Styela clava: one gene and its partners. The protein of the gene in region 4 purifies or fractionates together with the protein of the main gene of each other region. This does not show direct contact. Links are inferred from orthologs where the notes say so. Each region holds a gene or a part of one and is shown on either strand. Other genes may lie near its edges. The genes, in order: exosome complex component RRP46-like, exosome complex component RRP41-like, exosome complex component RRP42-like and exosome complex component 10-like.

Region 1 (8,010 bases), on a different chromosome or scaffold from region 4:
GTCAGCAGTATGCAGGTATGCCTAAGGTAGCTACTGGTGGAAATACAAGCATGCCAACTCCTACTAAATCAGATTCTAAGTTCTCATCTGCTATCACAAAGAAAGTCGAAAAAATTGGGGATCAAGCTTGTAATGATAATACAGACAAAAATATCCAGATCAAAGATACTTCTAGCGAAGACCAGACCACTGAAATGGGGATAAAAGATGTCACTTTTGATAGAAAAAAGCTTGATAAAAGCAATGACAAATCACAGGTTTTTCAAGAGATTCCTACAGGAACAGCTCCCAAAATTTTGAGTAAAAGTGGTTATTCTTCTGATTCTCAAGCAATCGTTAGCAATGAAACTGAGTCTTGCGCTATTGGTAATTTGAAGGACTTAGATTCAACAGAAGAACGTACAAAATTTAATAGTGATGTACGTGAAATTGAGAAGACCTCTTTAGGTTTCTCAGCGAGTAATAAAGCAGCTGATGCATCGACATTGAAACAGTCTGCACCCCAGGAATCAATGCAATATAGTGTCATAGACAATCCCAATCCTTTATCCCTAGAAACTGCCAATAAAGAGGAACAATATAGGACATATACAACTGTGGCTACGATTATAGAGGGTGTTATAACTGCCAATAAAGAAAAACTGGGAATAGCGGATGAAAAAACTTGTCCAAGTAAGCTTATGATACCTGCCAACATAATATCTGAAACAGAGCAGTCATACACACGTTTGCATGATAATCCGAATTCTGTTCAAGCAAGCAAACTGAATGTCACTTCTGTAATTGATGATGCAAAAAGTGTTATTTCAAAAGAATCGGAAAATAATACATCTACCAGTTCTTCTATATCTAGTCAGTCTGACACTTGTACAACTTCCAAAACTGTGACTAAATCCGGGGTAACTCTTGTTAAAAAGGGTTCGCAAGTTTATACAAAAATTATGCCATCTCGGCCATTCTCTGGGATTTCTCATTCACCACGAAGCGCATTTACTCCAGCAAAACATAGAATAACACCTGAACCTGGGAAATCTTCAATTTTAAAACGAAGTCCGCAAATGGATAGGCTTGCTGCTTTATCACATAGTAATCCCAAAGCACCACTTCTAAGATCAACCTCAATGCCTGTGTCAATAGAGGATGATAAAACTTCTCAAATACGACCACACAAGACTTTACTTCGAACTGGGTCAATATCTGATTACACGAAACAGAAATTGAAAAGTTCAATTTTGATGAGAACTTCAGCATCACTGGTGCGTAAACCAAGTATTACAGAGCACGAAATTGAACAAATTTTAACTGATCCAGAATCATCTCAATCTGAGGACGATGATGAAATTGAAAGGAACTTTAAACCACTTGGTTCTCCATCAACCTCTGCTTATACTTCAATAGATGTGATCAACAGACCGGTAGCAGTGACCCCTGTTTTGTCAACAAACAAGGACGTCCCAGTTTCAACTTCAACAATTACATGAGTCGTGGCTAGTTTTTGCGCTATCGAATCTGAATTTGATGTCACTCACCATGAAAGTCTTGACTACATGAAGAGAGAGAGAGAGATTTATTGTTCGTCAACCAGAAAAAACAAACTTTGCATCAATAGTTAAAATATACAGCAACTTAAGGAAAGGTTTTTAGCTTGATAGTCTGATGGAAAGATGAAGAAAAATCATGTCACAACAATGCAAATGGTATCATATGACATATCAGAACCTGAAATGGCCCAAATTTAATACTTAACTACTTCGCTCGACATCCCAATCAAACATCCATACTTCGAGTACATCCTGTAAACTTCGTTAAATAAGGAATGCCCGATATAATCTATCCAGTTATGTCTACAGAATGCATGCATGTATAATTGTACATTCATAGGATTGCAATATTACAGCTAAGAAGAGCAAAGATAAATTTTGTTTTATTTTTTTTTCATATGGAATTGACCGAAGCCTATTATTTTGTCCATTTTTGTATCATTAGCTATAAATGATAAATGTGTCATTTAAATATTCTCTATTTTGAATATAACCGATTCTGAATGTTTGATCAGCACTGGTATTCTTTATGTATCAATATTCTGCCATTATTATGAGGTCATGTAAGCGTGTCATCAATTTTGTTAAATACTGATTTTGTTTTGAATTGATGAAGTCATTTTTAGCCTATATCTGTCCTCCATTTCAGATGATCAGTAAATGTGCATAACATAATGAATAAAGTTTTTCAATTTGATTTTGAATATAATACAAAGATATTGAGAAGTATTGGAAATATATTTTTTCAGAGAAAAATTAATTTTTTTAGAAACCAGCAGTAGGTTTGTTAATCTGAAGAATAGTCTGAAAATACATTGTTTTTTTTTGACAATAACTAAGAAGAGTATTGTTCATGCAAGTAAATTTATTTTATTGTGATGCGATTTACTGTCATCAATATCTTATGTTTGTTTATATACCTTCATCAATAACATATAAAGGCTTAGCAATAAAGTCTTGATGTTAGTCATAACTCATAAAATAGAGCAGCATACCAATGCAATCAAAATAATTGATAATATTTAATTTTTCTTTTCAAATTTTAGATCAACTTTCGCTATATAATAGTAATATGATTTTTAACTGAGAAACTAAACATTTATACACACCATATTCTGTGTATACTGTATTTATGTATTTGAAATTCATTATTGTAAATTGGTATTCACTGTTTAATTGTTTGACAATAACGTATATGTGTCTCATACTGAACTGAGCAAATTTCGTACATCAACCCACCAAATGGGACACACATATGATCATGTGTTCAACATTTCTATCAATGCTATCAGAATGATAACTTTGGTTTTGGTGCAACCAACTGAAGTGGGTGCTATAGCCAAGCTAAAGCTTTAGACTTGATTATTCGGGCATCGCAGATTGCACCAGGGTTAGAAGCCCATGTGCACTAGAGATGTACCGATACCACTTTTGTCGCCGATACCGATACCAGCTAAAAACGCCGATACCGATACCGATACGCCGATACTACAAAAAGGCCGATATTACCGATATTCCGATACAGATACTATGTAATTATTACTTAATTAGGTATGCTGTGTAGGGCAGACGGGTTAAAACAATGGTCTTTAAGCGTTGTTCATAGTACACATTATTTCAGATCAAAAAAAAGATATATATATCACATAATATGAAATTAATGTTTGGTATCCATATACTGTAACTGATTAAGATACATTGTACAGTAACGCTAGTAATCTCGGTGTTTAATTAGAAAACTCATAAGCCGAGATGTCCAATTTGAATTTAATGTTAATATCGCGAGCTTCGAATATCGTTATTCGTGTTTAAAAGAATATCGAATATCACCCACACATTCTAGCGCCGCCGTCCTACGTTCAAATTAAAAGCATTTTACAAATATTTAATTCAGTGGCTAATCGTAATCGTCGACGCAATAAGTCAAAGCCAACATGAAAGAATATCAATCAGCACCGACAAAAAGAAGGCCCACCGATAACCGTTGAGGATGTTTTTTTACTTCACTATTTTATAATATTTTACAATTGCTATCTTATATTTTGAGACAGTCTAGGGCTAGGCGGTCAAGTCAATATATCTATAAAGAAATCGTGTAGTTAAGCAGAATTAAAATTAATACCTGTGTAGAGGGATAATTGTGTCGGAATTTAGTTTATCGATGTCGACGGACTAAATGACACTCGTACTTGACGACAAACAGTCAGAATTTATACCCGTGCCAAAAGTCCATGTGCCGTTAATAAGGAAGGACCCCAATTCCACTGCATGATTTAAAACTGGGCGCCTAGTTGCTTTTTGTTATGTGCTGTGTTGATATATTTCTTCATAAAAACTATGTAATATTAAAAATGTCAATATAAAAATTTGACAGCGAAAATAGCCAAATTAGTTGAGCTAGTTTAGCTGATAAATAGCTAAAAACATGTGAATCCTATTCTCTCGCGGGGGTGGGGACATGTATGGCTCACGATCTCTCCAGACAAAAATAAATTAAAAAGTAGTATTCCAACTTATCTTTTAAAACATTCTGGACCATATCAAAAAGGTAAATATATCGGTAATATCGGCCTTAATCTAACCGATACCGATACATGGCCGATACCAAAAAAATGACCGATATTGCCGATACCGATACCGATACATCGGTACATCTCTAATGTGCACCTAATGTGCACCCTAAAGTGCTAAGACTTAACTGTGCGGACATCTATAGTTACACTATGGTTCAAATCTCATGCTCACAACAATCTCACCCAGGGTGTACTACGTTGAATCTTGAAGATTCCAGTCTTTCCAAAAATAATAACTTCTCACATATTGCTAGATATCAGTGGGGTCTTATGCAGGGCCACATACAGAGCAAAGTGTTTCATTATTAAAATTAAAAATTTCCGAATGTTGGTTAAATTGCTGTCTTTTGCAGTTGGACATGCAAGACTAGTATCAGACAATTATGGTCTTCAAATGTAATTTCTTGATATATATTATAGCTTATTACTGCCATTATTTTATTTTTCTGCTTTTATATCTATGATAATGCTAGTTATGTTCCAACTATACATAGTTGATAACATTTTTCGCCTCTATTTAAAATCGGTTAGTTTACCAAATTTGCAAATTTTTTATATCTCACATTTGCTTTAGAAATGCTTGATCTTCAAATATTTCTTCTCAAACTGTTTTATGAAAACTTACTTAGATATGAAACTCCTTCTAAACTAAAAATTTTGCTCTTAGGCCACAAGAAAAATTGAACACGTTGGTTATGGTCAACATATCATTTTTTTCTATTGCTCTATTGTTTTCTAAAAGAAAATGCTGAGATAAGTTTTGATACAAATATTTAAGTCAACAAACCCACCGAGTGGACATTTTCCAATTTTGGTTCTACTGCTACATTTTTGCAATACCTTATTTATATTGTTCTGTTTTTCTTTATATACAAGGATTCATTGTAGTGTACATTGTGATAGAATAAAAACAATGAAGCAGAAAGAGATGCCCGGTATTACTGTTGACATGAAAGTTATGAGATGTGAACAAAATATTCTCAACAATCCTGATGGATCTGCTGATTACTCTGAAGGTTTTTCAATTTATTGTGTTTTTTTGTACTCTCGTAGTATGTGTACCTGATTAGAGTTGGACCATAATTTTATTCTGATTTTCCTTATTTTAGTTCTATTATGAGTTCGGGGACTGTCTGTGTTAGCAAAAAGAATATACTCCCTGCCCATAAGCTTTCATCCCTTCATACAAATTGATGTAACGTACCGGTAGGCGAATAAAATTAGTTACCTTCATATGAGTATATATACTTCTGGAGCGCCGTTTTTTTTATGATAAGATGTTTTAATCTGAGCTTAAATAGGTGTTTGCTTAAGGTTAGAAAAAGATTGGTGTTCTGATTTTGGAATGACAATTACTTTTCCACTTCCCACCAAATTTATTATATTACACATTGAGTGAGGTGCAGAATGAACCAATTGATTGATCAAGTCTTTCACTAATCGTCTTAAACTGTGAATAGCGACTTGATAAACTGTTAGGCAATGGCATATTCACATGGCCATGTTTGGTAATTCAGTAACAATTTATTCAAAAAATGGGATGCAATGACGGGACCAGTTAACAAGTTTTATATTTTAGAGATATTGCCGAAAACTTTTTGTCAGAATTATTCCACCTGCGAAATCAAATCTACTCGTCATCTCTGGGTAAAGGCAAAATATTCTTCCTGCAATCAAAAAGTCACATAATTTATATTCTGCTCTGAACATTTCACTATCCAGGATATCAAAGAATAATTAGAACAGTTGTTTCAATAGAGTAACTCCATGCTTCCAACAGAAATAGATATATAGATTTATTGATTTGCAACCAAAAATGAAAGTAAAAATACAATGAATGTACACAATGTTTTCCGGTAAAGACCAGAGGGAGCGATACCATACAACCATATGATCATCTAAGTCAGAGATGGCAAACTATAGTTCAATTGATCAATTCCAGATTTATTATTTGCTCTATTTTTAAACACATTCCATTTCAATTTAGGTGACACAAATGTCCTCGTTGCAGTTTATGGACCGGCAGATTGTCGAGAAAGTAAACAATTAATTGACAAAAGTACAATTGAAGTTTCATTCCGACCCAAAGATGGGATTCCTGGCGTTGCGGAGAAATACTTGGAACACACAATAAGGCATACATTTGAAAATGTCATCATGACACATCTATATCCAAGAAGTCAAATAATGATTATTATACAAATTGTTCAAGATTGTGGATCTGTATCCTTTATTAAAAACCTCAGATTTACTAATTTATTTTCATTTTTATGACGAATATTTTGTGTCTTTTGCTCTGAGCAGGGTACTCTCGTAGCATATGTGCCAGGTTAGGATTAGGTCATAATATTATCATAATTTTCTGGTTTTAGTTCTATAATGAGTTCAGGGACTGTCTGTGTTATCCAAGTGAATATCCCCCTTGCCCATGGGTTTCAGTCCCTTTACACAACTTGATGTGAAATAGGCGATCAAACTTAGCTACCTCCATATTGGTACACACATTCTTGGAGTGCCCTGAACAAGCCCATCTGTACTTGCAGACATTGATATCCGAGGTTATTTGAGAAGCTACTGATTTTAGGAGAACCGGAATTTGAGTTTTAGTAGACTTGATTATAACTTTGAGTTTAAAGAGTTTGACTGGTTCAAGCCAGAGATGCCTGGAACTAGAAGGAATTAAATATTCAAATAATTCGAAAATTAGTTATATTCGATTGAGTAAAGTCTTGATTTTAGGAATAATTCAGATTATATTCTTTATTAGCATTTATTATTTTATGATAGAGAAAAAAATTAGTAACTACTGACCAACTAAAATAGAGAATATAGATTGGAACAAATGTTAATTTAAATTCTACTGCATGACTGAATTTGATTTCTATGAATTTACAATTGTCTTTAAATATATCTCTTGTTGAACAGACCCATTTCAGAATGTATTTCATATTCGATAAGATTATTTTACGATGTATGAATTGTATTGAATAGTGGATACTAAAATATTTGGTTTTGGCCCTGAATGGTTCAAGACATTTCGATAAAGATTTGTCATCAAAGTTCCTTAACTACATTTGAAACAGCTTCTTTCTTGTGCTATCAATGGATGCAGCATGGCTTTACAGGTGTGTGTTTGATGTTTTTACTATTTAATAGACTTCTTATGCTCAGCCAAATATCAATATCAATGAATTCTAGATATTCGCATATGGCATATTCGGCTGAGCAGCGGGAATACTTTTGTAATCGCTCCTCTGATTACCCCGTTTGGATTTGCATCCCACAATATATGATGTGTGAGAGGATTTCTAGACTCCTCGGGTAAATTACGGCTTCCTCCACCATCAAGTCCTTGCATTCGAAACAAATGACTTGCTATCAGATCCAATACCAGACGTGGACTAGTGACTACTTGAGACTGTGGTGCGTTGCATGAATAAGCATTATTGTGGCTTTCTCCTCCCCCTGGATAAATTTGAAAATCCTGATATTAATGTGACACTCGGGGACAAGAAAACTCTGGATCGTTTTTCAGATAAGTTCTGGAATGTGGATTGGTATGTCATTGACAAATATAAATATGGTGAAAGTAATAAAATTATGGTTTCATATTTATTTCGAAATGCTCTAGAACTCCAATACGAGCGGTGCGTCCACCCTTGCGGGGTGGGCTCAAAACTTATCAAGAATCCACAATAAGCCTCAACAGTCCTTTAACACACATTTTTTTTATTTAAATATCCTTCGGCCCACAGTAATAATCAGAGGTAAATTGATTACTCCTGATGAAGATGAATAGAAGCTCCCCACCAAATATAGAACAAATAAGGGTGGTCATGTAAACGTTCTATCAAAGGTAATGGATTTGTGGATACTGCCGTAGTATGTGTACCAGG
Region 2 (7,772 bases), on a different chromosome or scaffold from region 4:
ATATTTTCTGTAATAATACTATGAATATGTTGATGCTTATTTTAAAACAGATAGAACAGTTAATTATTAGTTATATTTAAAATGTCAGAATCAAAAGAGATGCAGAAGGGAGAACTCGCTCCTACAGAGTGGATATGGAATGAAGATGAAAACCCACCTTTTCATAGGACACAATACGCGCCTATGCTGGTGAAACACTTCGACTGCTTATTTGCCGATGGTGAAACAGGCCGCGTTTTTGTTCCGCTGTGCGGAAAAACTCTGGACATGATATTTCTAGCTGATAAAGGGCTTGAAGTTGTTGGATTGGAGTTCTCAGAAATCGGAGTTGAAGGGTTTTTCAAAGACAACAATTTGACCTACAAGAAAATGGATGTTGTAAATCAGCCTTTGGTGCAGTACAAATGCAACGAGAAAAATATCACTATTTACAGAGGTGATATGTTTAATTTGAACCCAGATGTCTGTGGCCAATTTGATGGCATTTGGGATCGTGGAAGTTATGTCGCAATCAATATCCCTACTCAGCAGAAATATGCTGATATTATTTTACAACTGATGAAACCAGAGGCGAAAATATTGATGGAGACTTTCACTTATGACACGTCGAGATACGGTGGACCTCCACATTGCATAACCTTAGAAAATTTACAAAGCACTTTTGGGTCAAAATGTGAAATTAAAGTTGTTGATACAATGACCATGCTCGCACATCCCGTTTTCAATGCAGGAGATATGATTATGACTCTTCCCTATTGTCTTCTTTCAATGAAATAAAGTTTTAAATTGACCATTGTGAATCAGATATAATATAGAGAGTCATGAAGTGTTGAACAACTTACAACTTTACTTTTAATCCTGGTTTCTGATTAACATGTTAATTTATTAAAGAACATAAATTAGTCAACATTCTGTAGTATCATTCTGATTTATTAAGTAAAATTAATGTTTGTTGTTTTGATTGTGGGAAGGGTAGTGCAGCCAATCAAAAGGTGTACGTCTATTTCTTATTAAAATCAAATTTATTCACGTTTTTGTCCAAATAATGTCGGTGTATTTTATAGTAATACCAATTTTAATTCAAAATAAATCTTATTTTATAAATAAAATAAATGAGAACTACAAGCACAATAAGATCGATTAATATACAAAGACAAAGAAATTTTTATTTGTTGATACTATAAAATCGGGAGAAACTTTTTGGACACCTGTATATTTCTAAATTGCTTGCTTTTTATAAGTATTTGTAATAAATACTTGTCTCACTCTGAATCGTTTACTAGTCAAAATGCTTCCTATAGAATATGAATATAAAGTCCAATTTTCTTCAAAAGCAGTTTCATATGTTTTAAGTTTTCAAATTTTATTTCCATTTCATAGACTATGAAGTAATATCTGTGTTTGAAATTTTTGGTTGATTCTACTGTATTTACATGCACTAAATATGTAAACCTTTTTTCTAAATAATTGCACTATGCAGGATGATTTGACATATATTTTTCCTTGTCTTGTATTCATATCATGATTTAGTAAAAAAGAGTAATAGTACTACCGTATATCCTCACATATAAGCAGAGTTTAAAACTCGAAAAAAAAGTTGCCAAACTAAGGCTTATACGCACATAACTCTGATCGCACTCAAAGGAATTGACGATGTTTTTCACGATTATTTACCTATGTTAACCCCAGTGATCAATATAGTATTTCATGATATGAATAACTTCAATAATGTAGGTCAAGAAAGCTCTTCATTCATAACTAGGTGCTAAGTCTTATTAATATTCATATATATTGACTTAATTTTATATATAATTACAGACCTTAGAAAGTAAAATATCACTATATTCTACAAACATGGAAACTAATCCTTTACCTAGGAGAGAAGTGGCCGTAGATGAATGGAAATGGTCAGCAGATCAAGACCCGAAATTTCATAGGAAAAATTACAGTCAGTTGCTAGTGAAACATTTTGAGAAACTTTTTGAAAATGGAACGACTGGACGTGTTTTCGTTCCACTTTGTGGAAAAACGATGGATTTGATTTTCTTGGAAGAAAAAGGATTAGAGGTGGTCGGTCTTGAGTTTTCAAAAATTGGAATCGAAGCATTTTTTGAAGAAAATAACTTGACATACTCAGAATCAACCTGTTCTGATAGCTGTCTTGTGGTTTACAAATGTAAGGAGAAGAATATTACTATTTACAGAGGTGATATTTTTGATCTAAAACCAGAATTATGTGGTCAGTTTGATGGGTTCTGGGACCGCGGAAGTTACGTCGCGATAAATATTCCCACTCAGCAAAAATACACAGACTTAATCTTCAGTCTGATGAAGCCAAAAGCAAAAATCTTGATGGAATCTATCACTTATGATATGTCAAAGTGCAAAGGTCCACCTCACTGCATCACGATTGAGAACCTTCAGGGCACATTTGGGGAAAAATGTAACATAGAAGTTATTGATATGATAAAGTATCCGGCAAATTTCCAACCAGATTTGGAATTGACAATTCGACTTTGCTTTATTTCTTTCAAGTGAAATAAATAAGTTGATTTTATAATATTAATAACAGTAATTTTGTGCAATTGCTGATTCATTACATAATTTTGTGCAATTGCTGATTCATTACATAATTTTATGCATATGGTTTTTCATTAAATAATTAGCACCACAGCTAGATTGATAATTTTTTTTTTAAATCCTTCCTTTGAACATTATTATCTAATGCAGGGGTGTGCAACCTTGAATACTGGATGGCTAAATGAAACTAACTGGGTTAAACTGCAGGCCACACCTTTATTGAAATAGACTCTCTAGTGATGCAGCCATGCAGGCTTAAAAATTTTGGTATTTATCTTACGACATGCGTTGTTCGCACAAGCTAGCTGTTTTAGGGGCATTGTAACGTCATAAGCATAGATAAAAAAAAAAATTGGACTCTGGTATTGACTTGGGATTCTTGCACGTATCAGATTAAACTAAATTAAAAACTTTTGCGGGCTGCGCAATTTTTCCTTGTGTGGCTCACGGGCCGCAGGTTACACACCCCTGATCTAACAAATTAACCTCACCCTCCATGAGATTTCAATCAGCATTTTATTATCTCTTGTAATGTCACTCATCTTGCCACTTCAGAATTTTTAATATGTAAATAATGTAGGAAATTGGAATTAGTTTGATTTTAAACTGGATATCGTTGTTCAGTATTTATCTAATTGGTAGAAACGGTGGTAGGGTCTAGGGCAGGGCAACATCCGGCCTGCGAAATTTAAGCATTTACCCCTTTTTCTTGCAACCCTATAATTATAAGAGCTTTTCTTATTTTTGTTTTGTGCAATCCCACTTGCTGTTGTCCTAGGAATATTAAGCGCAATATACTGGCATCCCTGTCGAATGGAAATACTCTAAATTTGGCCTGAAGTTAAAAGTTTGTGTATGGAATATGATAAAAGACCAGTGGTTTCCTAAACGTTCACGGTCCATGGCTGCATTGCAATATTTTAAACACTTGTGTGACCTGCTTTTCAATATTAACACCTAGTTTTGATTTTAACTCGTTTCTATCAGTTCAATACGGTGCAATGTTCAATACTGTAAAGACTACAAAAGAAAGCAAAATAATAAATGTATTGCACATGAAGAACTGTTGTACATGTTTTGGGCATCTATGCGTACAGTGAAATTACATTACATTGCAGAGCAAATATTATATTATATCTTAATTTTAATTGTTCAGTTTTTTTGATGTTGCTATTTAACTAAGTTCACAAAACTGCATTTTACAGTGTAATCGTCCCTGCATTTATACTGTATTTGTCTGACAGAATATTTATTAACGTGAAGTATATGATATTGCAATTCATGCCAAAAATGCAGTTTTTCTTGGTTTTAAAAACCTAATATTTTGAAATTAATTTTGTCCTCAGATTCTTGTGTGCTTACATGCCAAAATTGTTTCATTTTCCTGTTCATTTCTAATATGATACCTTCACTCAGTAAATGCAAAAGTATTAATTGATAAACAGTGTGTTTATAAAGTCCTGTTGCAACCCAGATTTGTTATGATGTCAGTTCTTAATATTTCTTGGCCAAATTTTGTTTTATTTTAATCAGTGATTAATTAATTTTTCCACTTCGTTTAATAGGCTTTCTTTATATTGTTCAATTTTATCAGAAATATTCAAATCATTTGTTCGATCCTATATGACTAAATGAAGTGGCAGACATGACCCTGTGGTCCCCAAGCTTTTTTTAAAAATATCACTCTATCGATTTTGGAATTTTTTATTTCTTCCTCACTATGTCACACTAATTGTCCAATCTTTAATGGATTCTTTGCTAGTGTTACGCATAAGTAATGAGGCATGAAAAAAAATCATAAATAACCATACACTTGTTGCTGAGTATTTTTGATGTTTTTTGCAAACCCTCGTCATTTGCAGCTTTAATATTGTTTTGTTTTATTTATCTATTCGTATAAATTTAAGCATTTTTGACCAAACCTAGATGAAAATCTGATTCTGTCTCGCAGACACAGTGCCATCCATTTCTCAGTGAATTTACATTATGTAACAGTAAACATATTACGTTAAAATACTCAAATACTTAAATACCCAGGGTGTAATATAAAAAATCGGGGAGGAAATGCAGAACAAGAAATATTTGTGTCCTTCCAGACTATACTTCCCTACCTAGCAGTATGCAACAATATACGTTGTAAAAAACAATACGTTGTATAAAAAATAGTACAGGAAAAATATTTTAAAGCCATTATGTTTTTAAAGTTCGAAAACAAAAAATTTTCATATTTTATTGATCATATTTAATCCAGTTAATAACTATGGCTGGTCTTGAATTGGTAACTGATGAAGGGTATAGAATTGATGGCAGACTACCAACAGAACTACGCCGGATTCGTTGTCGTCTTGGAGTGTTTTCACAAGCCGACGGTTCGTCCTATTTAGAGCAAGGGAACACTAAGGTACATGAAATTGGTTATATTTTTTTCTATAAAGACTTATTTTATCTAAGTTCTACTCAAACAGCTCCTTAACGAAAAAAACTTTTCAAATGAACGGAAATTTCCTGCTTTGGGATTCACTGTCTTATTTAGTTTATTTTGGCCAGACCTTGATCAATTCAGGTCCATCTGTATTCCGAATCGATTTCTTGGTATAAATTGAAGCTCAAAAGTGTCCTTCATAAAAGTTTTGAGGTGTGGTGCATTTGGCTGAGGCATGATAAAGGAAAAAATTTTCAAATTTATTTTAAGATGAGAGTAAAGTTAATAAGATGGCCTAATCATATGTCAGTAACTGACTTATGTATATACCAGTCCAGCGATCCCCTCGCACTAACTTATCCTCCACGAGATTAAAACATTGGAACTCCTAATGGGTTATAAGCAGTAGTGGGATTCAGCCAGTTCGCACCAGTTCTATAAAACCGTATCACGGAATTTCATGAGATCAGCGCACCGGTTAGGATTACTGGTTACTCCCAATGACTTTTGCGCGGCGGTGTGGCTCAACGAGCTAAACGTTAGGAATACGCTCGCCACCGCACCTCTAACTACTCTGCGTGGGTTCGCAGGTTCGAATCCCATGCAGGGATGGTTATGTGCGAGAGGATTGCTGGACTCCTCGCCGTCGTTGGGTGGTTCATGTAACCGCTGGTCGGTTACGGCTTCCTCCACCACCAAGTCCATGCTTCCGAAAACAAACAATACAGTAAAACTAATCCCATACCCGACTTGGAATGGTAACCGGACGAGAGGCCGTGGTTCGCCATATGGATAAGCTGTCTTATCGGCTTTCCTCTCCCCCGGGATAAATATGTAAATCCTATCCTATCCTAACAGAACCAGGTGAAAAATATGACTTTAGTAATGGAACCGGCTGACAAAAATATTGAATCCCACCACTGGTTATAAGTAATGTAATGACAAGCTTAATGTGCCAACCGCCGAGCCGGTTACAATCCTAAATGAACTCTTTATTGCAATTTACATATATTTTATAAATAATTATATCATGTCACAAATGTCACATACATCATTTGTCCATTTGCACTTCACAATAAGTTTGAGTAGAATATGTGATAACTTTGAAAAATGTTATTATTTTTTTTATTTTTATAACATTAATTGGTATAAGAATTTCATTAATAATCGATGCTTAATCATTTGGTGAACCATGGCCTCTCATCTCCATCATTGTATAACAATGAGCCGGTTTATAATTTCAAAAATTAAATTTTCAGATATTAGCTGCAGTCTATGGACCACATGAACCATCATCTAATATGAGAGGACAGGTAAGATAATAAGGATTGAGTTGAGTCATGAAATCTTCATGTTGAGGTGTAAGCTCTTCACGAAGCTTTGAACAGTATTTAGGGGTGTAAAAGCCAGTACAGGGAGTCCTCAGGTTACAGCGGTCGCGACTTACACTGTTTCGATGTTACGCACTCCATAAAAATATAAAAGATAATACTGTACTGTCTGTAATATCTAAGCCCTTAAACTGGATCATTGTGATCAAGAAATCAGTGCTTTGGACTCATTATTTTTTTTTTTTACACCGTGAATGACGTGGACAATTGCAAGTATTACGATTATGAACAAATAATCACTAAGCTTCAGTCGCATGGTACACAGTTTCAGTGATACTGTTCGCCATTTTGGTTGTTCCGACTTGCACTGAAATTCGGGTTACATCGCATCACAAGAACGGAACAACCTCGTAAGTCGAGGACAACCTGACAGTATGTGTTCTGGAGTTTTTCTCTTTCTCTCAAGGCTCTGGTGCTGGTGCAAAAAGGCTTTGGGCAAACAACTGATATACAGTTAGAAAGGGGAATGCGGACCTACTATTTTCAATCAGTGGTGACTAGGCCAGGGTTTACTCGAACTAGAGGCTCAGATTCACAAAGAAAATTTGTGACTTGCGCGTAGGGCTGAGAAGCCCAACTACAAAGATTTAACAATTAATCCGACATTCTAATTTTTAAATGTTTGGCACAACTTTCAAAAATATTAATATTTTTATTTTCCCACAGCTAAAAATTGTGGAAGATAGAAATGGGAATTACCAGCAGTCACGCTGTACAGATAGATACTTGAGCCTCTTTTTCCATTTACTCCAATCATCTAACAAAATAACATGACTAATCGCCATAGAGACTTTTATTTGGGACTCGAAGACATTGTTGTTTACAAAACTCAAGAGTTGAGTATAAATGCGATTTGAGGAAATTTGCTGTGATTGGTCTTGGCTATTGGTTTAAGGACCGTAAACTGTCATTAAATTTACCTGAGAAATATCTTTGAAAAACCCTGATTTCGCTTGTATGAAGATAAAAGATAGTTGAATACTTTCTTTATTATTATTTATCTATCCACAGATTCTCAGTGACAAAGCATTTCTGAACTGTGAATACAGTCAAGCAACATTTAGTACTGCTGAGAGGAAACATCGGTCACGCGGGGACAGAAAGGGTCAAGAATTGTCTATGCACATTAAACAGACTTTTGAAGCTGCTATTTTAACTGAATTATATCCAAGGTGAGAAAAGTTAAAATCGGTTATCAGTTATGTCAAAAATGGATTGAATATTCAAATTCATTCAACATTCGAATATTCAATTTACTAGTACTTTATACCCGATTTCAGCAATAAATTGAGAAATCTTACATTTGAAAATTTCCTGATATGTCATGGTCGAATGAAAAATTGAAAATCCTAACAGTAAAAGAACAGAAAATCAATCAA
Region 3 (6,811 bases), on a different chromosome or scaffold from region 4:
TAGACCAAGCAAGTCAAACTAGTACAATCCAATCCAGGGTTTCTCTATATGACTACATTAATTCAAGGAAATTTGATTTGTCTATTTCTTCAACTAGGAGACATTTCTGCTTTTACTCAGGTTTTTTTTGCTATTTATTATTATACATGGCGCTTGAAATATTGGATGAAAACTAATTTAAACCAAAACTAGGTATTTTTGTTGAAGAACCAGCGGCACCAAGTGTTGAGAGTTTTTTAGTAAGCCACAGATCAAGAATCACTAATCCAACCAATTTCAATGTTCTTTTCAGGTTTCTACCTCCGAAAAATAGTGAAGGAAGTTTGATCATCAACACAAACCTTGATTACGGAGCTCTAGCTGAGGTGATTATAATTTATATTTTGGTTTAACTAACCAGTTAATTTGCCTTCCAATCAATTCAATCAAACTGGTGTAAATACCAACTGGTACTTCTTATTCAGATATTTATGTATAAATTTGTACATTTTCAAATTATTTTATTGTTGTTGATTTTTATTGAAAGCTAGAATTACTTGGTTTCATGGTAGAATGTCGAATGCCTGTTTTGAATGGAATATGAATGTCTGTATTAAAATGCTAGCTATACTGTTTTTCTTCCATTATTTGATGATTGATATCTGATTGTGCATTATTAGACACAAAATGCACTTATCGATTATTGTGCTAAAAATCGTTGTTGTTGCTTGGTGTTTTTTCTTGTTGTTGTTGCTTGGAAATATTCTTTTTCTTCACAACTATTAGGCCGATCGATTTCAAAAAGCTGACTCCTATGGAAACCCTTATGTCACCTATAATTATACTGTTTTATTTTAATTGTAAGTGAAGACTTCTCTATATTGTCACTCTTGACAACTTCCACCACACTTTTCCGATGATCTTTTCATAAAACTGTGTGTTCTGAGACTTTTCTGTACCAGTATCGATACTCCCATAGTATGTGTACCAGGTTAGGGTCAGGCCCTAATTTTATTCTGATTTTCCTCATTCTAGTTCTATTACAAGTTCGGGGACTGTCTGAGTTAGCCAAGTGAATATACTCCCTGTCCATAAGTTTCAGTCCCTCCACACAACTTGATGTAAAGTAGGCAAACAAAACTAGTTATCCCCATATTGGTACACATACTTATGGAGCGCCCAGTACCTATGTGCGAACTCTGCGCTCATATATTTCAGCATTGCTCTTTTGTTTCAAGGAATAAAGGAATTGTTTGTTATAAAGAGAAACTTCCATTAGTACTTCTTAGTTCTTTTCTCTCAACATCACCAGGCAATCAATTCACAATATTCTTTTTTTTAGAAAACTGAGGGATATTCTGGATCAGATCTTAAATTAGTTTGTAAAGAAGCAGCAATGCAAGTTGTCAGAAAAATATTCAATACCTTGGAGAATCATGTTGAAGGAGAAGTAAGTATAGAAAATTATAGGTACTCCTGAAGTATGCGCACCAAGATGTCGCATAACCTGAACCCTAACCTGGTACACAACCTGAGTTCAGGTTGTGCGCCATCTTGGTGCGCATATTTCAGGAGGTCCACATTATATTGCACATACTAAAAGAATTAGACAACAGAATAAAACAATTCCAGATAATTTTTCCATATGTTGGAAGTATCTAAGTTTAGGATTTGTTGTGTTACTATATTATATTGACTATAATTATCTTATCAATGTTTACCAAAGGTCTATTTTAGTTGTCGATTCGGAGAGAGACAGTTTATATGCTTCGTCAAACTTAAAACACACTATACACATATCTATAAAATATAAATAAATGAATGAAACATTTAAGATCAAGTTACCACACCATCATTATTGTGTTATATATATGATATAATTGCACGTGTATAAATTTGACTTGCTGCTTAGTTTGTTACTGCTATGGTGTCTTTGGTTTAAAAAGCTCGTTTCTTACAATAAAGTAGTGTTGTAATGGAAACTTGGTGCTTGTCTAAAAAGAACTAAAGGCAGTACACACAATAAATAAACCACAATGTTTTATTGAGTTCATCGGAGTATTGAACACTGTCTATAATCAATCAGTATACTCTTATATTTTCACACTATGTATAAATCGATCCGTGATTATTTATAAAAAAAGGATCAATTTAAACGCATATCAAGGCAGGGAGCTTCTCAGCAAATGAGAGCCATATCAAACCATAATGATTTGTTCATATCTGTCACACCCAAACTGCTCATGTTTTTGTCTACAACAATGTATGATCCCAACTTTCTTGTTTGAGTTTATTCCTCGAGTCCACAGATGTCATGGAATCATGCATTGTTAATAAGTCTGAAACACCAATAAAACAGTATTACGCTCAGGAGGCCACATAATCTCAGACCCTTGATAAGCTGTATTGCTTTTGTTTATATTGTATCCATAATTTATCTACTTTTCTACAGCAACTTCCAGATTTCACCCTGGACACTATATCAACAGCATGTGTTTTAGATGTTCTTATTCACACTAAGCCATCAACTGCTAAACTGAGCCACAAGTACAAAGACTGGCAAACGAAATATGAATCTGTGTAGTGATTTTGCGGTATTCCAGAGGAACAATTATTACTGAATTAGAAATTATTATAATTCAGTCAAGTATTTCATGACATATGGTCACACTTTATTCACTGTAACTAAGCAAGTCTTAATTTATTCTTGCTTAGTCAAGCCACTTGTACTGTGAAATTTAATTTAGTGCTGTTTAAAAATTTGTACACAACTTTACAATATTTTGTGCACTTTTTTAAAGTGGAAAAAGTACTATGTAGTATTATGTCCGCTTACTAATTGTCACATTTTTATAAGAAAATTTTAGTGATATATTTTCCTATTTCTTTTGTTAAAACCTCTTGTCTGTTGTAAAAGATTAAATTATTATCATTGGTCGTGATTATATGAGGTTGGTTTTGGGCACAGGTTGCTAAGTGTAGGAAATGCTTCATTTACGCTGTATGGGAGGGGGGGGGGTGGTTGCGGGACAATGATCAAGTCCATGCTTTCGAAAACAAATAACTTATTAATCCCATACCCGACTTGGAACAATAACCGGACGAGAGGCCTTGGTTCGCCATATGGATAACCCGTCTTATCACTTTCCTCTCCCCCGGGATAAATATGTAAATTCTATCCATCTCACAACCCAATAAAATCTAGATAAATGTCTAAGACTCATTTATCACGATATTGCTGAATCGGGAATTGTTACAGATGATGGTTAGCAGTGATTCAATATACAGTATAAGTTTGTCCGCTTTTGATTAATTTATAAGATAATTTTTAGCTGAATCGCTTAATTTTTTCACTGGACCAAATGGATATCTTCAGTCGTCTCGTTTTTGTAATCTCAGGTTTTGTTTGTCAGTTTTAAATGATGTTTCCAAATCTTTGTTATGTACAAGAGATGAAAATAGAATTAAACCTGTACATATGCTTAATGCGTCTGAAACAAATAACTGGCCACCATTATTCCATACCTGACATGTACTCGTATCCGGACGAGAGGCGGTGCTTCGCCATATGGTTGAGCCGTCTTAAAGCTTTTATTTTTTTTGAATTCAGCTTATTTACGCCAAATGATGAAAACCGGAGGCGTGTCTAGTAGTCTATCGCAAATTATTCGGGGCTAATTATTGCAACTAAACTGAAGGAAGACATAATAACAATTAAATTATTTGGTGACCGTACATTTGAACCCATGTACATTTGAACCCATGCGTATATCCACGGGTTCAATCTATATTCGGGTGCTAAAACCCATGGGTTAGGGTTAGTATGGGTTTAACTATCCGTGAAACAAAAAAAATTCCATAGGTGCAATAGCATACAGGTGCAATTGTCATGGGTTCAAATGTACGTGGGTTCAAATGTAATGGAACCAAATTATTTGAATTACGACTAATTTTTGGAGACACAACTGAAAACTGACAAAGAACACGCAAATGTCATCGTAGACATAATATTGATTGGACAAGGTTACGGAAATAAACAAGGAAACATCCATGGGCACAGCAGAGCCGTTATATAATGGCTCTGGGCACAGCACAATGAGCACATGGACATGAAATTTTACGAGATCAAAGGTCACGCACGCGGATTTCTTGTATTTGAATTATTTTTTTATTTGCAATCTAAGGTTGGGAGTGTGACTACGAAGAGTACGGTACTGTATCGCTGCTACCGCATTTTGCTCGTCTGTATCTGAGTCTCATTAATTAAGTTGTCGGCGAAGGTACGGTGCCATTTGTAGAGGGTTTTTGGCCTAGATTAGACTATTGTCTGGTAATACACTTACCGGTATACCAGTATACAGAAGTTATACCGTTCAGACGTTAGGTCTTGTTTTCATTCACGTCTTCCAGGTCCTCTGCGTTTTGTTTGTTGTTGTTTTGTTTTATACCAAAGCGACCAAAATAAAATTGATTGATTGACGGTATCTACTTATTTTTCTACTAATCTGCAGTTCTGTAACACAATGAGCGTGCGCTTAATGCTGTAATGTGAACTTAGGTTTCAATTATTACTGTAATAGGTCGAATTGGCGCATTCTACTCTAGTCTGCAAGAATGGCAATTGCAATACTTGGTGATGCAGAAAAGCGCTTTATAATTCATGGAATACAAGAAGATTTGCGGAATGATGGACGAGGTTGTGAAGATTACAGACACATTGATTTGGAAGTAAATCTTGTTTCTAACACAAATGGATCTAGCAGACTGAGAATTGGGAATACAGAACTTCTTGTGGGCGTGAAACTTGATCTCGAAATGCCACTGGCAAATTCTCCTGACCAAGGATTGGTGGACTTTAACATTGACTGCTCCCCAAATGCCACACCACAGTTCCAAGGTAGGGGCGGTGAAGATCTTGCCGCAACCATAAAAAGTTTACTAACAAGAGCCTATAACAATAATCTTGTGTTAGACCTTAAAAGCTTATGTATTGTGCCTGGGAAAAATTGCTGGTCAGTGCATGTTGACGTTCTCATATTAGAATGTGGCGGCAATCTTCTTGATGCAGTGTCGATTGCAGTCTTCGCTGCTTTGTTTGACACATCTATCCCAAAACTGGGAGTGACCGAAGGTGATGAGGGGGAGGTGGAAATTAACTTGCCAGATGATCCATTGGACAGTATCCCCATGAATGTGACTAATTGTCCAATTTTTGTGACTTTGTCAAAAGCTGGTCAGAGATATATTATCGACGCCACAGCCGAGGAGGAAGCATGTTGTTTGGCAAGTGTCATTTTATCAATTATGAAAGATGGCCGCTGTACAGCTCTGCGTAAAGACGGCTCTGGTAGCCTGGACCCACAGAGTATTAGCGAAATGCTAGATGTGGGAAAGAGAGTAGGAATGAATTTACATAAATCTATTTTGAAGTTTCTCAAAAACATGCCAGTTATGAAGTTTAATGACAAAACTGGTTTTCTTTGACTAAAACAATCTGCCTTTTCAGAAAATTCCCAATGCTAATGTTTCCCCATAAATATTACCTAAAATTATATTAGCATTCGTTTTATAATGCTTTATTTTGATATCAGATCAATCATACAAAATTAACGCTTCATTGAAAATAATTGCATAGTATGTATAAGTAAGAATTAGTAGGGGTAGATAGATAATAACAAGCATGTGCTTTGTCAGTTCGGCGTTAATTTCATGGAGGGTTTCGCTATTTGTACTGCAGCTAATAGAGAGGACAACACGCCACATAACCCAACGACCCCGTTATTGAAATTAGTGTATCCCAGACTGTTTGCGGGGATAACTATATCGAATCCATTTTTCAAAAGGTCGATTATTGCTTGTTGATTCTGCTTCACAAAATTGGAAAAGTAGGTCTGGAACGAGATGGATTCTTCGCGCCTTCTTGCATCTCTAGCCAATAGTTGCATATTGATATACAACGAATAGAGATCCCTTGCAAAAGCCATCATCAAAGATGCCAACCAAAACTTGTTCGCGCTCTCTGTCCACTTCTTCAGATCTGCGTGTACCAAGCCAACTTTCCCCATCCATATATAGTGGTCAATGAGAAGGTAGGCTGCTTTATTTGTATGAGAGGTAGTTAGTGTGAGACTCAGAACATAGTTTTGCAAATTTATTGCTCTCTGGGCTGCTCTGAGACTGTCCACACTTTTCCCAAATCTAAATACTGAAAAAAATGTATATTTTTTTTTTATTCAGTAAATTGAGCTTTGGTAATGTGAGATCTGTGTCTGTTGCCAGAATTATTAAAATATAAACTCACATTTTCTGGACGTGCTCATTAATTTTTCCAGCTCTATGAGCATGTTGACTGCATTTTCCTTATTGCCATTTCTCAGTAGATACCATACAAGAAATTTGCTGCCATATTGCGTGACTCTATAAAACATGTTGTATTCAATTACAAGAAATCCCAATTTCTGCACATTTACCTAAAAACAGTCTTGAGAAAAAACAATCAATTACCTATATAATTTGTCTCGACCAGCCGTCTTGTTGCAAAAAGCTAGGAAGTCATCCATTTGAACTTGACCTGATTTATTTTAAAGCTATAGCTCTGGAAATGAAAAAAAGCATTTCTGTCAAAACATCCCAGAATCACATATGTAAAAGGAGTGAATTATGAGGAATACATACTATACAGAAATATATAGTATAAAATACCAGTGGACAGAGGTCGACAATGCTAGGCGCAAAACTGATTTTACTTTTCACTTTACAAGAAAACTCTGCTTGATAAAGTTATTTCACAGGGTGTTTTCACTTTGTGCATGAAATGTTTCAACATAATGGG
Region 4 (6,919 bases):
AAAGAGACTGAACCCCTATGGGCAGGGTGGATATTCACTTGGATAACAAAGACAGTCCCGAACTAAAATAAAGAAAATTGAGGCCTAATCCGGTACACATACTACGGGAGTATCCAAACAAAACCTCGACTTTACCATAGGTTATCCAGCTTCGTGTCCCTTAGCCCCTGCGTCATACCCCATGACTCGCCAAGACAAAAATTAATGTCTATCAGAAAACCCCCCTTATCCTGATATCCAAAACTACACAATACCAACAGGGTATGTTAATACTTTGCCATACTATCCACAATGCGACATGAAGGAAAAATTGTAAATATTTCCTTTATATTTGGCCAAAAAGACAGTGAATTTCATTAAATGAACTAAATCAGTGCATGCAAAAATTTTGGCAGTCGAGAAGAGTAGGTGAATCCAAATTAAAATTTTTTGAACAGAGAAATATCTGTACCACTTATTATCTTCCAGACGGATCTGATATAGCATCTCTCCATATTCACTACTATTCAGCACATTACGGACAGCTGTGAATTACATTAATTCCATAATAGAATATGACAGTAGGTTGATAATGTCCGAAAATGTCATTTTTTATGATAATGGAATCTTTTATAATGCTCTTGGGTATATTCAAATGGTTGTATATCCGAATTTACTGCAAGTTTCTTCGCTTTCTTTTTGGCATGTCTCGACATCTTTTTATCTTGATTTGGTTGTGGGTGACGCTTCTGTCCATGAACTTGTGGTAAATTACTTAATATAATAACATCTTCTTCTTGTTGCTTTTGTTTTTGTACAACTTTCTTCTCTTCTGCTTGCTCTTGTTTATCACCATGAAGATTTTTCAATTTCCAAGCATATTCAAGACTCAGCATTGTTTTCAAGCTCACATCGTCAAGAGATGTTATACATTTTGTTGGTGCGTTTGGCAAATCATTTTTAGGGGGAAAATACTTTGAAAATGGATCCCAATTTGCTTCTTGCATATGACTGGTTGGATTACTAGATTGACCTGTAAGTAATGGTTGAGGACGACCGTCGTTACAGAGAAATGACGATTGTGGAGCAGTCGATACTTGCGGCGGTTTATGTTTAGTGTTTGGTGTAGAAAGATCAAAATTAGATAAGTCATGTGGGCAAGTCAATATATCATCATAAGCATCTTCATCAGGTTTTGCTGGAACGGGTACTTCAGTCGGTGTGCTGATATGTGATGCATCTGTCTTCTTACCAGAGCCTTTTGCTCTTGCTTCCAAAACTAACTGATGAATTGCATGAACATGTTGACGGACAAGAGGTGGTACTGGATTGCAACATGCAAGTACTCCTTGTGCCTCTCTGGGCATGATTTCAGCAATTTGAAAAAGCATATGATTAGGTAAAACGTAACCAGGGCTTTCATCCTCTTGTCTTGCCATCGTGTCTCTCCACTCAAAAAGCAATTTCAGAAGTTCAAGTTGCTTGTTATTAAGTTGTTTTCTGCTTTTCCGTCTCTCATATAATTTAAGATGTGATGTAGGCGTAAGTAGAAACTTCTCATATTTTCGTAGGCAAACATCACGACTTCTATATAGAGTATTGAGGAGTCTTGTGGTACCAGTACCAGAAGCTTGACCTGTGGCACCCAAGTCCAGAAGTTCATTTTTCATTATATCATACACATATAACAAATAATGAGTATCCTCTTGCGCATACTTTCTCATTTCCTCTGGTATCGGCCGGATTCTCCAATCCGCAAGTTGATATTTTTTATCTGCATGAACATCACAATACTTTTGCAACAAATAATCAAGAGAAAAATGCCCTAAACACATTTCTCTTGCGGCCTGACCAGTATCAAACATGTTAACAACATACACTCCAAAATCGCGCTGCAACCAATGCACATCAAAATCAGCACCATGAAATACTTTTACAATATTAGGATTTGTAAATACTTCATTGAATCTGTGAATTTCTGATCGTAGTTCTAATGTATCGATCAAAAAGTCTTTTGATCTCGACGATATTTGCATGAGACAGGTTATACCTTGGAAAGATCGATAGGAATGATGTTCCAGATCAACTGCAAATTCAGGGCAAGTTTTCAAGTGCTCAATAACATCGAGCAGTTCATTTAAATTCGTGATAACCTCGCATGGCTCTGATGGGAAAGGATCATATTTTTGTGGTTCGACTCTTTGAAGCTGCTTGTTTAAAAATTTCAAATTTGCAAGCTCCGTTTCATATGGGTGACCATATATATTTTGATCTTCTGCGTTATATTCTCTACCTTGTCTTACCAAATTGACAATGGCAAGTGAAACACCACCATCAGATGATTGTGAATGTAAATTTACTAAAGCTTTCGGTAACTGTTTCACAGCATTTGGTTTCTCTGTAATTTTTGGAACAAAAGGTAGATTACTGTTGTCAATTTTATCTTTGAATTTCGTTTGTGGCCTCATAATATTATGTGCATGGAATAATTTGAAAGTTTGTTGTTTGCCATATTTATTTTCTCTGTTCCATGACGAAACAATCGGCTTAGTTTTCGTAATGAAAACTAGAGGTTGCTGAATAACGACATCAGTATCTGGTTGTGAATTGTCCTTTTTCGGTGCAGTAGCTTGTTCTAATAATGTGGATATTTGTTCCAACATCATGTCATTTGCTTCAACAATACGATCGTAATGATCATCTACATCAACATTACCACTACTCGTTTGTCCATCAGTTTGTGGCAAAGTCTTTATTCCTTGATGATGTAGAAATGAGTTGATGTTTGATAAAATCCTTGAACCTTGTTTGTTATAGAATGCGCGAAAACCAGGAAAGCTGCTGTACAAGTCGAAATCATCTGAAGAGTGAGGCAAACTACTACTTGCTTTGATAGTTGTCATTAAAGCACTCAATACTTTTTTTGAATATTCATCAACATCACCCAAACTACCACTGGCAAAACCTTTATCAGAATTAGCATCCATTATTCTGTTATTCCTTTTAATGTTTGAAATACTGAAATAAAAAACGTATAATCAGTTACAGGCTCAATATATTTGAAGTATAGATCTACTGGTATCTGTGTACAGGTGTACGCTCAGACTGTGGTTGATTCAAGTCCGTACTGTGTACCCGTACCGTGACTTTCCTGACTCCTGCAATGCCTGACTGCAGGAAAATCTCATATCACAGTATCAGCATATCTGTGTCAGTCTGAACCGGTTAACGTTCCACCGTTTGATAGGATAGTGGATACAATACAGATAAAGATATGAATGTATGTTGTGGTTAACAGTAAAACCGTACCGTATGTCAGTACAGCAGTATGTAGCAAAATCAATTTAGCCTACAGATTCACCCAAGCCCAAGATATTCTGATATTTATTGCAGTCACTGAGCAAAGCGAATTATTCGGCTATTCTGACATTAGGCTATTAGAAAAATTATCTTCCTAACTTAGCAAGTGTGCGCTACTCTAGTTTAGAGATGCTGATTTTGAAAACGTCTCGAAGTAAAAAAATAAATAGAAAAAATCGCCAACCCGGGTAAATTACAGAATTATGAAAACATGCTCCTGCAACAAAACCAGAAATTCTCGGCAACATTACCTTTCGACCAATAGACTCAAGCACGTGCCGTTCACGAAACCGACGTCATGCCTTTTAATCTTAATCCTGCGGTAAGTACATTATGAGTTTATTTTGACTTAGTTGGAACATATATTATTAGAAGTATATGTAGAGGCTATTTGCAAAAGCATTTATTATAATTAGTGAACTGTACCAGTACCACATTTGTAAATATGAAGGGTTAGTTGGAGGCAACTCGGCAGATCTTTCATATGATAGCGAAAGTGAGGCACATACACACCGGTAAAGCAAACATTTTCACAATCAATTGATAATCATTTATTTATCAACACAATATAAGAACATTATGAGAAACATTGAATATAAAAAATCACGGTAACTAATTTTAATTGTGGGACAGATTTCGCGAGGACCCTCGTATTGCCTTCAAGCAGCGGCACTATCATTACTTCCAGTCAACACAAACTCAGGATCAGGAATCAGGATTAAAATTTTATGTTTAGATATACTTTGTGGCTGTTGAGGGGTAATATGATTAAATATAATTAATATAGTGCTCTGCCTAAAATGACCTTCCTCTCGTTTTCGAAATGCGCTCACGATTGGGATTCACTCGTGAGGAGAATTCCCCGGATGGCTTCAACACAATGGTATGGTAGATATTCAATGGCCTACGAATGGTTTGTTTGATAGCCTCAACGGTTGGCGAGAGGATTGGCGGAATCCTCACCATCGTAGGGTGGTCCTCATCCACTATCAACGCATCTTAAAAAGTTAATAGTAAACTATTTTTGTACCTGACATAGACTCGTGAACGAGCAAGTGGGCGTGGTTCGTCATATGATTTTTGGTTGAGTTGTCTTATCGGCTTTCCTCAGCTCCTGAATAAGTATGAAAGCCCTACCTAATGCAAAAATGTCTGAATGAAACGGGAGAACTTTTCAGTTGAAAACGCTAGGTTCAAAAGAATTTGAAAACAATTAACATGACTGCCAGATTTTATATAAAACCTGCTTTTATTTCTTTTTATTAAGGTGTGACTGCTCGTAATTTTTCGTTTTTAAAGTCTAGTCTAGTTTTCAGCAATCAGCAGTACTCCAAAAAGTCAAATTGTTTTGTGCTGTTTGTGCCAATTTTCTATGTATGGTGTGATTTCGAGTTCAAAAATAAACTATTGGTATATTGGGTCTGTCGCTGATTAAACTGTTTTATGATTCCAGTTGTAATAAAGTAAATAGAAATAAAGCATGAAAAGATAAGCAATGGAAAAATAACCTAAAAGGTCGCGATCAAGTCTATAAAATTACACAGAAATGTGCAAAATATGGACACTCGTAGATTTGATTAGGAGGCAGAGTTGGTTAAATATATGCGTCTGATAACATCACTGCTTTCTGAGGTGTATGTTGCTGTAATATATTATATTACTATATTTCCACTGTTCATCGACACTTTTGGTTTCTTAATGAAGTGCGTTGTCATCGTGAAATTGTTGCCACTTGAGGTCATTTTTGTAAAATTGTTCTAGTTGTTCACGGACTAGTTTTGCATGACCTTTGTTCCTGGTTTCGATGGTGCAGGTAATTGCCGCCATGTAGACGTGAGAAGGCAAAGACATTCTGTCGTGACCAATGTCTTTGATGCTGTAATGTTATGATATATGGACAGTGATTAAATCATTAAAACAAATAAACATCATGCAGCCTCCCTATATAGAATATTATAAATATACATATGCCAATCATGAAATCTTTAGATCCCATCATTCAATCGCTGGCTCAGGGGTGGACTATATATAATTATGATAATTCTCAGTTTATAATTAAAATGGATTTTAATGAATATATATATCAGAGCGTATAGTACCCGACTCTGTTAGCATTTGAAGATCATCCCTCATCATTCCCATTATCCGTACAATAAACAATAGTGGCTATTCGGCCAGACGCTATTTGGTCGTGGTGAAAATGCACTATACACCTCGAGTACCAATGTGACAACCGTTTCAAGTAAATGACATTCACATTCCACTCGAGCCCTATATATATATATATATTTATTTCTTCGAAGATAACATAAGAATCGTTTGCTCCTTCTCAAATTTGCGCACGGATCATAAAATAATATTCCAAAATCAATGCGCCATAACAATCTGTATACGCCTACTTACCTTGCTCCTAAATCAGACAACATATCTGTAAGTCTTGCCAAACCGCCAGGTCGGTCAGTCACAGCCACTAAAAATCGTGATAGCCTTCCCTCTTGTACTAATGCTCGATCTATGACATGTGTCAAGATGTTTGCATCTATATTGCCTCCACTTAATATGCATACAACTCTATGGGAAAGAAAAGGACAAATTCAGTTCGCAATTAGCACAAGTTTCGCTATCGTTAGATTTCAGGTTAATGACAAGCAAACTACTAACGCCACTGTGCAGTACTATACATATTATTAAATGAAACAATAAACACAATGAAGAATTTACTGACACATTGCACCGAAACTCACTTTTTGCCCTTTACTTCAGGTAGTTTATCGGAAAGCAATGCTGCATATCCGATTGCACCTGCTCCTTCCACCACCGATTTTTCTCCTTCCAATAAATGTAGTATGGCTGTAGTAATATACTTTTCTGGAACTGATATGAGCTTATCAATTTGTGCCGTTGCAAATGAGTTATATCCAACCTGTACAAATATTTTCAATTGCGATATTTATAAGATTCGGAAAAAGACTCAATTATTTGTGAGGCATCAATAACGACTAAAGGCATGAGTATGCCTTTTGCTAAATTCAGATATAACACACTTTTCTTATAGCCAGACAAGCGTATAACATAATTTCCTGAAGGAAATTGTTCTGAAACAATGATTTTCAGACACTCGCGCGTGAATGAATAAATGGGGAACACGGAAACTTGTGACGAAAAACCACCGGCAGACAATTCAAAGCTGAGGCACAGCACCGAAAGACGCTTAACATGATACCACTTACTCTCAAAACGTTTAATCCGTCTGCAATCGATTGCGTAGCTCCATTCATAGTACTGCAACATCTGACTGGTCGTCTGTGCTCATTGGCCGTGTGCCACCCTGGACATCGTTCTGATTCGACGCCCTTAAAATTTGAAACTTTTTATCAAGGATTTAGCGCGGCGACGACTAACCAAACATTAATTAAATGCCTGAAGAGAACAATTTCCTGCACTTGTTCATTGCATAAATAGATTTAATATAATACGAATTTGATTCAGTTAGATTTTAAACTTACAATGATCTTGACATTCGGGTTTATATATTTTGCCGCAACCGAGACTCCGGATATCAATCCACCACCACCTATCT

The links.
Region 1: the proteins of exosome complex component 10-like (region 4) and exosome complex component RRP46-like purify together in Homo sapiens (co-immunoprecipitation; 8 studies listed by BioGRID and IntAct, with this or other methods). This does not show direct contact. The link is inferred for Styela clava from reciprocal best matches to the Homo sapiens genes EXOSC10 and EXOSC5.
Region 2: the proteins of exosome complex component 10-like (region 4) and exosome complex component RRP41-like purify together in Homo sapiens (affinity purification with mass spectrometry; 9 studies listed by BioGRID and IntAct, with this or other methods). This does not show direct contact. The link is inferred for Styela clava from reciprocal best matches to the Homo sapiens genes EXOSC10 and EXOSC4.
Region 3: the proteins of exosome complex component 10-like (region 4) and exosome complex component RRP42-like purify together in Homo sapiens (affinity purification with mass spectrometry; 6 studies listed by BioGRID and IntAct, counting the BioPlex papers as one, with this or other methods). This does not show direct contact. The link is inferred for Styela clava from reciprocal best matches to the Homo sapiens genes EXOSC10 and EXOSC7.

The regions. Positions count from the first base shown.
Region 1 is NC_135253.1:19,714,717-19,722,726, reverse strand, and holds the start of exosome complex component RRP46-like, read left to right. Parts: upstream 1-4,996; 5' UTR 4,997-5,027; coding exon 5,028-5,130; intron 5,131-6,101; coding exon 6,102-6,337; intron 6,338-7,197; coding exon 7,198-7,239; intron 7,240-8,010. Other genes in the region: uncharacterized protein LOC120326325, read left to right, coding at 1-1,481. UniProt on the Homo sapiens protein: Non-catalytic component of the RNA exosome complex which has 3'->5' exoribonuclease activity and participates in a multitude of cellular RNA processing and degradation events.
Region 2 is NC_135257.1:18,366,722-18,374,493, reverse strand, and holds the start of exosome complex component RRP41-like, read left to right. Parts: upstream 1-4,746; 5' UTR 4,747-4,840; coding exon 4,841-4,981; intron 4,982-6,261; coding exon 6,262-6,315; intron 6,316-7,404; coding exon 7,405-7,565; intron 7,566-7,772. Other genes in the region: thiopurine S-methyltransferase-like, read left to right, coding at 82-777; thiopurine S-methyltransferase-like, read left to right, coding at 1,855-2,538. UniProt on the Homo sapiens protein: Non-catalytic component of the RNA exosome complex which has 3'->5' exoribonuclease activity and participates in a multitude of cellular RNA processing and degradation events.
Region 3 is NC_135257.1:17,235,504-17,242,314, forward strand, and holds exosome complex component RRP42-like, read left to right. Parts: upstream 1-4,369; 5' UTR 4,370-4,593; coding exon 4,594-5,463; 3' UTR 5,464-5,669; coding exon of another isoform or gene 5,670-6,184; 3' UTR 6,185-6,280; downstream 6,281-6,811. Other genes in the region: katanin p60 ATPase-containing subunit A-like 2, read left to right, coding at 293-365, 1,322-1,429, 2,432-2,563; peroxisomal membrane protein 11A-like, read right to left, coding at 5,670-6,184, 6,281-6,396, 6,484-6,539. UniProt on the Homo sapiens protein: Non-catalytic component of the RNA exosome complex which has 3'->5' exoribonuclease activity and participates in a multitude of cellular RNA processing and degradation events.
Region 4 is NC_135262.1:8,880,929-8,887,847, forward strand, and holds exosome complex component 10-like, read right to left. Parts: upstream 3,022-6,919; 5' UTR 2,967-3,021; coding exon 585-2,966; 3' UTR 311-584; downstream 1-310. Other genes in the region: L-threonine ammonia-lyase-like, read right to left, coding at 5,035-5,215, 5,743-5,910, 6,084-6,262, 6,570-6,692, 6,846-6,919. UniProt on the Homo sapiens protein: Catalytic component of the RNA exosome complex which has 3'->5' exoribonuclease activity and participates in a multitude of cellular RNA processing and degradation events.